Linked DNA regions of Cricetulus griseus. Each later gene encodes a partner of the first gene's protein in a complex. Links are inferred from orthologs where the notes say so. Each region holds a gene or a part of one and is shown on either strand. Other genes may lie near its edges. The genes, in order: Tmprss15 and anionic trypsin-2-like.

Region 1 (3,075 bases):
AGGAGAGTGGATGTCATTTCATTGTCCGTTCAGAAACTATCTTTTTTCTTCACAAACATAGGCTGCACTCCATCAGATGGATCAGTTTCCCTAAGAACTTGTTTAAATTGCAGATTTAAGAGTCCATCACAGGCTTGCAAATCAGAATCTTAAATTGAGGCTCAATGATGTTTGCTTTCTTGTGTCCCTCAGGTGACTATAACATATAATAAAGTTTGAGAACCATTGTTCTAAGCAAAAATAGTAATTAATCCTTTCACATTCAAAGAAGTTAGTGATCTTTTGTGCTTGTATAAACATATACTATGTATACTTACATACTGTAAATAGTATCAAAGTAGAAACAGAGTTGGTTTTAATATTTTGTGTTCTTGCATTAGTTTATGAAATAGTTACATTTCCTTGAAATAATAGAAGAAATGTCACTAAACAAATTATAAAATCAAGGCCAGGAATTTACATAATATAAATGACATGATGTGGCTGGACATTGGGAAGTGATATATTGGAAACAAAGCCAAGGCCCCTGGCCATGCAGAGACCCAGGAGAAAGGCAGAAAGCCTTATTCAGGGTTCAAGTGTCCCTGCCACTCAACTGACTTAGTATACATCACGTCAATTAAAACATTTGGTCCTAACATCAATATTTCATACTCACCTAATAAAATGTCAATTATTTTCATGAAATAGAAGGAACCTTTTAAAAACACCTGATTAAGCTTTGGTTTAACTTTAGTAACTTCTAAAAAATATAGAAGATATTGTGAGCAATAAACTTCATAAATATATCTAATATACAGATTAAGACCTTAGGACACAAAAGTAAAAATCACTGCCCTTCCTTCAGACAGTTTTGGTACAATTGTCGCACTTTAAATGTAGGCAACCTGTGACTGCCAATGCCACCTGTGTTCCTCTCTGTCCAATAGTGGAGCAGGGAGTGAGTGCTTTGACAGGCCACCTTCCCCCTTTTAACAGAACACTAAAGGAGGTTAAAACATTAGGCAAGGGGTCTCTCAGGACAATTCCTAACAGTGAGCCAAATTTTGAATACTTCATTACAGCAGTGGTTTTCAATTAAGTATATAGCATTTCATATTGTTTCATGATATAAAAATAAATAACTTGCTGGTTAGTACATGCCTTTAATTCCAGCAGAGGCATGCAGCTCTCTGTGAGTTCAGTGCTAGCCAGATCTCCATAGTCAGTTCCAAGCCAAGTATAGGCTACATAGTGAGGCCCTATCTCAAAAAAAGACAAATAAATACATAACCAGAATTCTTTGCATAATATGGGAGTAATGTGTGTCCATTTTTCATAATTAAGTTATGCTATTACATGTACATACCATTTCTTTGGGCATTAGATAGGAATTATTATGCACAAATAAGACCTATGTGATCAGGATCAACTATCACTTACCTCACTTGCAGTGTGACAAAAAGCCACACTCCTATAACTGAAATCTAAATGAAAACATATGTTCTGATTACTAGAAAATAAGAGATTTGATTATTTTGATTGAAATGTTAAGGTTTTCAAATCTGATTGGTATTTGACAAAACTTTCAGTCACATAAGAGAACTAACTCCAAAACTGTGTGAGAGCTCTTAATTCTTCTAAAATCACAATGTGAAATAGTTTTGCCTTTCACATGAAGGCTTTTTCTGGTACTTATATGTTACTTAATAAAGTGATTAGCATGTTGATGTTGCTGGGATTTTTTATTGTGGAATTTTAGAATGTTTAACTGTGTTGAAATAAAATGACAGAGCTAAGAAATGCTCCACCACAGGCTGGAGAGATGGCTCAGCCATTAAAGGCTAAACTCACAACCAAAAATATAAGAAACGCTCCACCAAAATTATAAACTTTCTGTTGTTACCAATGGGCCCATCTTCTTGAATAGCAAATTTCTGATGGCTAAAATGATGGTGAGAATAGACACATAACTGGCAACCGATCATATTTCTTTACATTTATATTTTTATTGGTAAACTTAGCACAGTTGTACTTATTTATACTGGATTGGCCATGTACCCACAATTTCCTTTTTTTTGTTTACACTTTAGGGTGATTCGGGAGGGCCGTTAATGTGCCAAGAAAACAACAGGTGGTTTCTTGTTGGTGTGACATCATTTGGAGTCCAATGTGCACTGCCTAATCGCCCTGGGGTGTATGCCCGGGTCTCAGGGTTCACAGAGTGGATACAAAGTTTTCTACATTAGACATTTTCCCGACCCAAACATGAAAGTTGGACAGTGTTTGTTTGATTGTTTTTCCTTTTTACTCAAAGTAGCATGGCAACTGAGAGTTTCATGAAAAGGAAAGAAAAGCTTTTCTTCTAAACTGAATCATTTAAATATTGGAATAAGGAAGAAAGACAAAACAAATTCAAATCAATCTTTGCAACATAAAGTAACTCTAAAATGGACTTTTGTTTCATAATAAACAATTATTTTATAGACATCATTTCCTTTGTTTTCAATCATTTTCATTACCTTCTATTATGTGAAGGGTTATTATTTTAAGACATCTGCAAACATTTAAGCAAAAATAGGTAAAGAAATGAAATGTAATAGTTTGTCTGAAGTGTGGTGTTTGAAATGAACTGTTGTAACTCATCTAATTGCCCTTTAGTGTACCACCAGAATCACCCTTGTTTTCTTTCTTTACCACCTGAGTGCATTTCTATTTAAATGTAATATTTTCCCTGTTCATATACATTTGTTATAAACTCATATTGCCAACATGATCACATCATCAATATGCCTTTTGTCCAGGTAAAGAAAACACACACACACACACACACACACACACACACACACACACACACACACACACACACACGTCTCTCTCCTGACCATAAAACATAAAAAAGTAAACTAGATAATAACATCATTCTACACAAATAATCTTTATCTGGGTCATTTTAACTTAACCATTTATGTCAAGCTGGTATTTACTAAAATCTTAAAAACAAGCAGGTATTTTGAGGAAATTCAGCTATTAAAATTTTTTTCTTAGTTTATATATTTATAGAATATCCTTAACATGAACAACTTGTTCCTTAAC
Region 2 (4,578 bases), on another chromosome or scaffold:
CCTCCTCTTTTCCCACAGAACCACCACAGGAAAATTGCTGACCCAAAACACTATGTTTGGAAGTCCCACCAACCAACCACCCAGGAGAGGAGAGGTCTGCATAAATGAAGGGTGCCACTGACCTGGCAGGAATCCTTGCCTCCTGCAAGGAAGCCAGCACAGAACATGTTATCAGTGATCTTTCCGGGATAGGCAGCTTTACATTCAGCCTGAGTCAACACGGGTGCCTCTAGGCACTGGAGCAAGTCTGGATAAAGCTCTGTGAGGAAAGGAAAACTATGAAGACTATTGCATCCAGACAACAATACTGCTGTGAAACAACTGGCAAGCAATGGAGTGTTCCCTGAGATACTACGTTCCACTCAGAAATTGTGGCTTTTCAATTACACAACATTCATTGCTAATGTCCTTCCCAAAAGAATAAGAGCACATTGTGCATGCGCCTGGACAGCATTCTGGAGATCAGTCCATTTGCTGTACAAATTTGTCTTGGCTCTGCTTGAGAACCTGCATGTGCTGTGCGCTTGCAATGCATTTGCAGTCTGGAAGCCGGTGGGATAACTCCAGAGAGGAGGTGATTGCAGAGTGTATTGACACAAGAGAAGTAGCAGGTGACCCCTCCTACCTACCCCCAAAGCTGAGGGTGTTGCCCCAGCCAGAGATGAGGCACTGAGTGCCAGCAGGTACAGAGGAGGTGGGCAGAGCTACAGTGGCCACCCGGGCACTGAGAGTCACAGGAGAAGCCAGCTTGATCAGCATGATGTCATTGTCCAGGGTCTTCCTCACGAAGCTGGGGTGCCTGATGATCTTAGCAGCAGTGGCAAACTGCTCGTCACCCTCAAGGTCATTGATATTGTGCTCTCCCACTCTCACTTGGATGCGACTGTTGGAAAGAGAGGCAGGCTAGTTTCTTTATCTCTGTGACTGCAGATATCACAAAGTTCTCAAGCTCCTCACACCCGTGTGCCACTGAAAGCTGTTGCTGCGGTATCATAGGGGGAGAATCAGGATGGTGACAGGGCGCTGTTTTTCACAATCTCACATTCTTTTTCAGAGAGACGTGTACAGGACCAGAGGTGAAGGAGGTGTAGTTTTCTCCTCACTCTAATATACAAAAAGATCCAGGGCTAAGTATCTAAGGAGTTATGTAAAGCTCTCTTCATCCTTCTTTTCCATGTACAGTAGTAGCAGGAACTTTTAATCATCATTTCATTTTGAAAAGATTTCGTCTTGTTGCATTTCAACCAGAAGGGTCAAAATATAGTGTGTGAATTTCACAGTATGATTTTCAGACCTTGTGAAAGACTCATACTCTGGACATAATTCCTAATCAACAATCATAGTTATCTTCAAATGTATTTTAAAACACTGATTACTGTTTATTTTTATGGAGGGAAAGCTGTTGTGAAAAACTTTTCCAGGTTCATTGGTGTTTAAGATGAGAAAGAAAGCCTTCCTTAGTTGCAGTCTTTTTCTTGTTTTATGTCTCTCTCTCTCTCTCTCTCTCTCTCTCTCTCTCTCTCTCTCTGTGTGTGTGTGTGTGTGTGTGTGTGTGTGTGTGTGTGTGTGCATTGCTGAAGCATCCTATTATATCCTATTATGTATTGGTGTTTATTTAAAGACTGTGAGCATCCAGTGCTGTTCACTCCATCTTTCTTCCCCATCTTTCCCCTTCCTCCACATCTTCCTCACTGGCTCATAGAGATGCCTGGTGTAAAGATGCCCCACTCTGTGAGCAATGCAATCAAGAAACCATCACTTACGTCTTGTAGCAATGAGCTGCAGTCACCACCCATTGCTCATTGATGAGGGAGCCTCCACAGAAGTGGTAGCCAGAGTTCAGGGACACCTGGTATGGAATGGAGTTCTTCTGACAGGTGTAGCCTCCAACAATCTTGTCACCATCATCAACAGGAAGGGCAACTAGAGTGGAGATAGGAGATGAGAACAAGCCAAGTCATTAGCATGCTAGATGGTAAAGCCATTGGCTCGATGGCAGCTTCAACCTTGGATTTCCTACTGAGCACAATGAATGCAGGAAAGTGGAGATCCCTCTGTTTCCAATATGTAACATAGATTGTTGGGTTTCCTAGTATTTGGCTCCATAGGAAAGATAGGCCATTGTCACAGGGCTGCGATAACTTCTAAGCATCAGAGTTAGGACAGCAAGAATGACTTAAGAAAACACTTAGCAACTTGATCATATTAGAATCAAGTTTTGAACATGGCCTGCTTTATTTTTCCATCTATTATTTGTTTGTTCCTGTGGGATGTTTCTCTTTAGAGAATCAGCCAGGACAGCAACTATGGAGGAGACAGGAAGTAGAAGCAAACTCATCATGTTGTTGGAGGTTGCTTTGCTTAGTACCTTCCACCGTTTCAATATTACTTTCTGAGCAGAATGACTGAAAGAAATCAGGGAAATCACTCTCCCCAGGAGTCAGCCCTGGGATTCAATACCTGCCAGGGTAAGGGAATGCAGGACAGGTATGTAGATCTTAGTGGGCTCAGAACTCTTCATAGTTCCAGCAAAAGGATAGAACATTGACATAAACACACTTCATGGGATCTGATTGCATGTCAGTCACCTAACCCATCGCTTGCTTCCCTCTGTAATTCATCAATTACTATGTTGTAGGATTCCTAGTGTGGTTGATGCTGAAGAATATGAGTCCTGGTTCATGCTATGCTCCTTCAGTTTTGCTTTTTATTTCAGTCTAGGTAATCAAGGCTCTAAATTCAATAAAGGATGTTTTAGTGAGTGAATCAAGCTTGTCCTGAAGCTTGACAAATTACAAAACGTCAAGTAAAATTGTGGAGAATTAATGTAGTAGGGAAGGCTTTGAAGGAGGAGTCCATGTTTTTTAATTAAATAGAAAAGCAGGACTGGACATGGCATGACTCACCAGCAGCTCCCACAAGCGCCAGCATCAGGAGTGGATTCATGGTGGCAGAAGGTAGTGGGGTCTGAAGAGGGGCATGCTTTTATATGTCTAAGGAGGAGAACTCTGCTTGGTGAAGTGGAAGTGTGATGCCATTGACCGTTACTGAGCAAACACACCTGTATTTTCCACTTCTTGGATTCTTAATGTCAACTCTTTTTAGAGTTCTTGGCAATAGGAGATCCTCAGGTGTCAAAAAAAAATTGTTCTCATGAAAGTAAAGATGCCCCGCTCTTTGGGCAATGCAGTTAGGAAACCATTACTTAGGCCTTGTTTCAATGAGATGCAGTCACCCCCATTGGTCATTGATGAGGTGGATGAGGGAGCCTCCACAGCAGTGGTAGGCAGAGTCGTAGCTGATTCTTGAAAGGATGCTAGAATAGGGGAAACAGTCACGGTCAATCTGTGTGTCCACAGCTCTGCTCTACTATATTAAATTAATAAGTGTGGGAGATGAAAGACTTTATGGGATGCTTAGAAACCTTCAGATGGACACAACAGGAAAACCCACAGAATAAATTAACCTGAACTCATAGGAGCTCACAAAGAATGAACAGACAACCAGGCCCCTGCATGGGACTTACCTAGGCCTTTGTTTATATTTTATAGTTTGCAGCTTGGTCTTCTTTTGGGACTATTAACAGTGGGAAAAATGGCTGACTCTGACTATTGCCAGCTTTGGGACACTAATCCTCATTCTTGGCAGCCATATCTAGCCTTCGACTTGATGTACCCTTTTTTGTTGACTTCCATGTGAGGCCTGTGCTGCTGTGAAAAGAAACTGAGGAGCTGAGGGTAGAAAAGGGATGGCTGGGACTTGGGAAAGAAGAAAGGGGGGAACAAAGAAACAAACAAATAATTAAGTACAATATTAAATTAAAGAAATCCCTTGATGGATGGAAGTTGCTTTTAGTAACTTTGAAAAAGTCCTCCTTTGGGTACATAGTGGGGCTCTTTGAACAATCCCTCTGAAAATGTTTATCTGTGGTTCCTTAATTGATTTGCTCTGATTTTGGCTAATCTCCTTAATAATTAATAAGAAGAAGAAAAAATGGATATCTGTGGACAAACCCTGGAACATCAGTGATGTGAAGAAGGGAGTTACAGAGTTACTAATAAGATGGTCATTGAGAGAATATGCTTTCTAAGCAGGCTCCCTGATTTTAGACATTTTTTTTTTTAGAGGGCAAAGAACTACACAAATACAATTGTCAAATTCTACAATTTCAAGAAATTTGCCTTTCCTACTTATGTAATATTAAGGCTACATGGGAACCTTGAGAGTATACAAACAATACCATGGTTATAATCCGTGATTATCATAAGGACTATCAATGTGGCCCTAGGTAATTGTATTAAGAATATCTACCCTGTTTGTTATGTACAACTGCCTGTTCTAGAAGTCTATACTAATTTTGAAGAATAGAATGGCTTTGGTCAATATTCAACATGACTTTTGAACAGCAATGAGGTACAAGGAGACATGGGAAGATTGTGGATATTTCTATTATTGTGAAAGCAGAGTATAATGCTGTATGCAGTCAGTGCTGACTCTTCTTGAATCCAGGTTTTTCTGTTATCTTAGGTCACTCCTAAGATTCAATGTTCATTTTACTATGGTATAATGCAGCGGTAC

The links.
Region 2: the proteins of Tmprss15 (region 1) and anionic trypsin-2-like are in contact, whole or in part, in a cryo-EM structure (PDB 8ZIV), measured with the Homo sapiens proteins. The link is inferred for Cricetulus griseus from reciprocal best matches to the Homo sapiens genes TMPRSS15 and PRSS1. Residues at the interface, in NP_001414986.1 of Homo sapiens: Tyr276, Thr277, Ile279, Trp297, Glu298, Leu316, Glu318, Asp320, Glu321, Ile369, Gln370, Ser372, Phe374, Pro376, Phe377, Ala389, Gly399, Pro400, Gly401, Gly402, Arg403, Glu405, Glu432, Asn433, Lys485, Ile486, Leu487, Val513, Pro514, Thr515; in NP_002760.1 of Homo sapiens: Phe18, Asp19, Asp20, Asp22, Lys23, Ile24, Val25, Tyr45, His46, Phe47, Cys48, His63, Cys64, Tyr65, Lys66, Arg68, Ala91, Lys92, Arg95, His96, Arg101, Lys102, Leu104, Asn146, Tyr175, Phe188, Leu189, Glu190, Gly191, Gly192.

What each region holds. Positions count from the first base shown.
Region 1 is NC_048597.1:16,540,924-16,543,998, forward strand, and holds the end of Tmprss15 (enteropeptidase), read left to right. Parts: intron 1-2,072; coding exon 2,073-2,228; 3' UTR 2,229-2,429; downstream 2,430-3,075. UniProt on the Homo sapiens protein: Responsible for initiating activation of pancreatic proteolytic proenzymes (trypsin, chymotrypsin and carboxypeptidase A).
Region 2 is NW_023276806.1:227,421,365-227,425,942, forward strand, and holds the start of anionic trypsin-2-like, read right to left. Parts: upstream 2,947-4,578; coding exon 2,907-2,946; intron 1,924-2,906; coding exon 1,764-1,923; intron 884-1,763; coding exon 630-883; intron 260-629; coding exon 123-259; intron 1-122. UniProt on the Homo sapiens protein: Has activity against the synthetic substrates Boc-Phe-Ser-Arg-Mec, Boc-Leu-Thr-Arg-Mec, Boc-Gln-Ala-Arg-Mec and Boc-Val-Pro-Arg-Mec. The single-chain form is more active than the two-chain form against all of these substrates.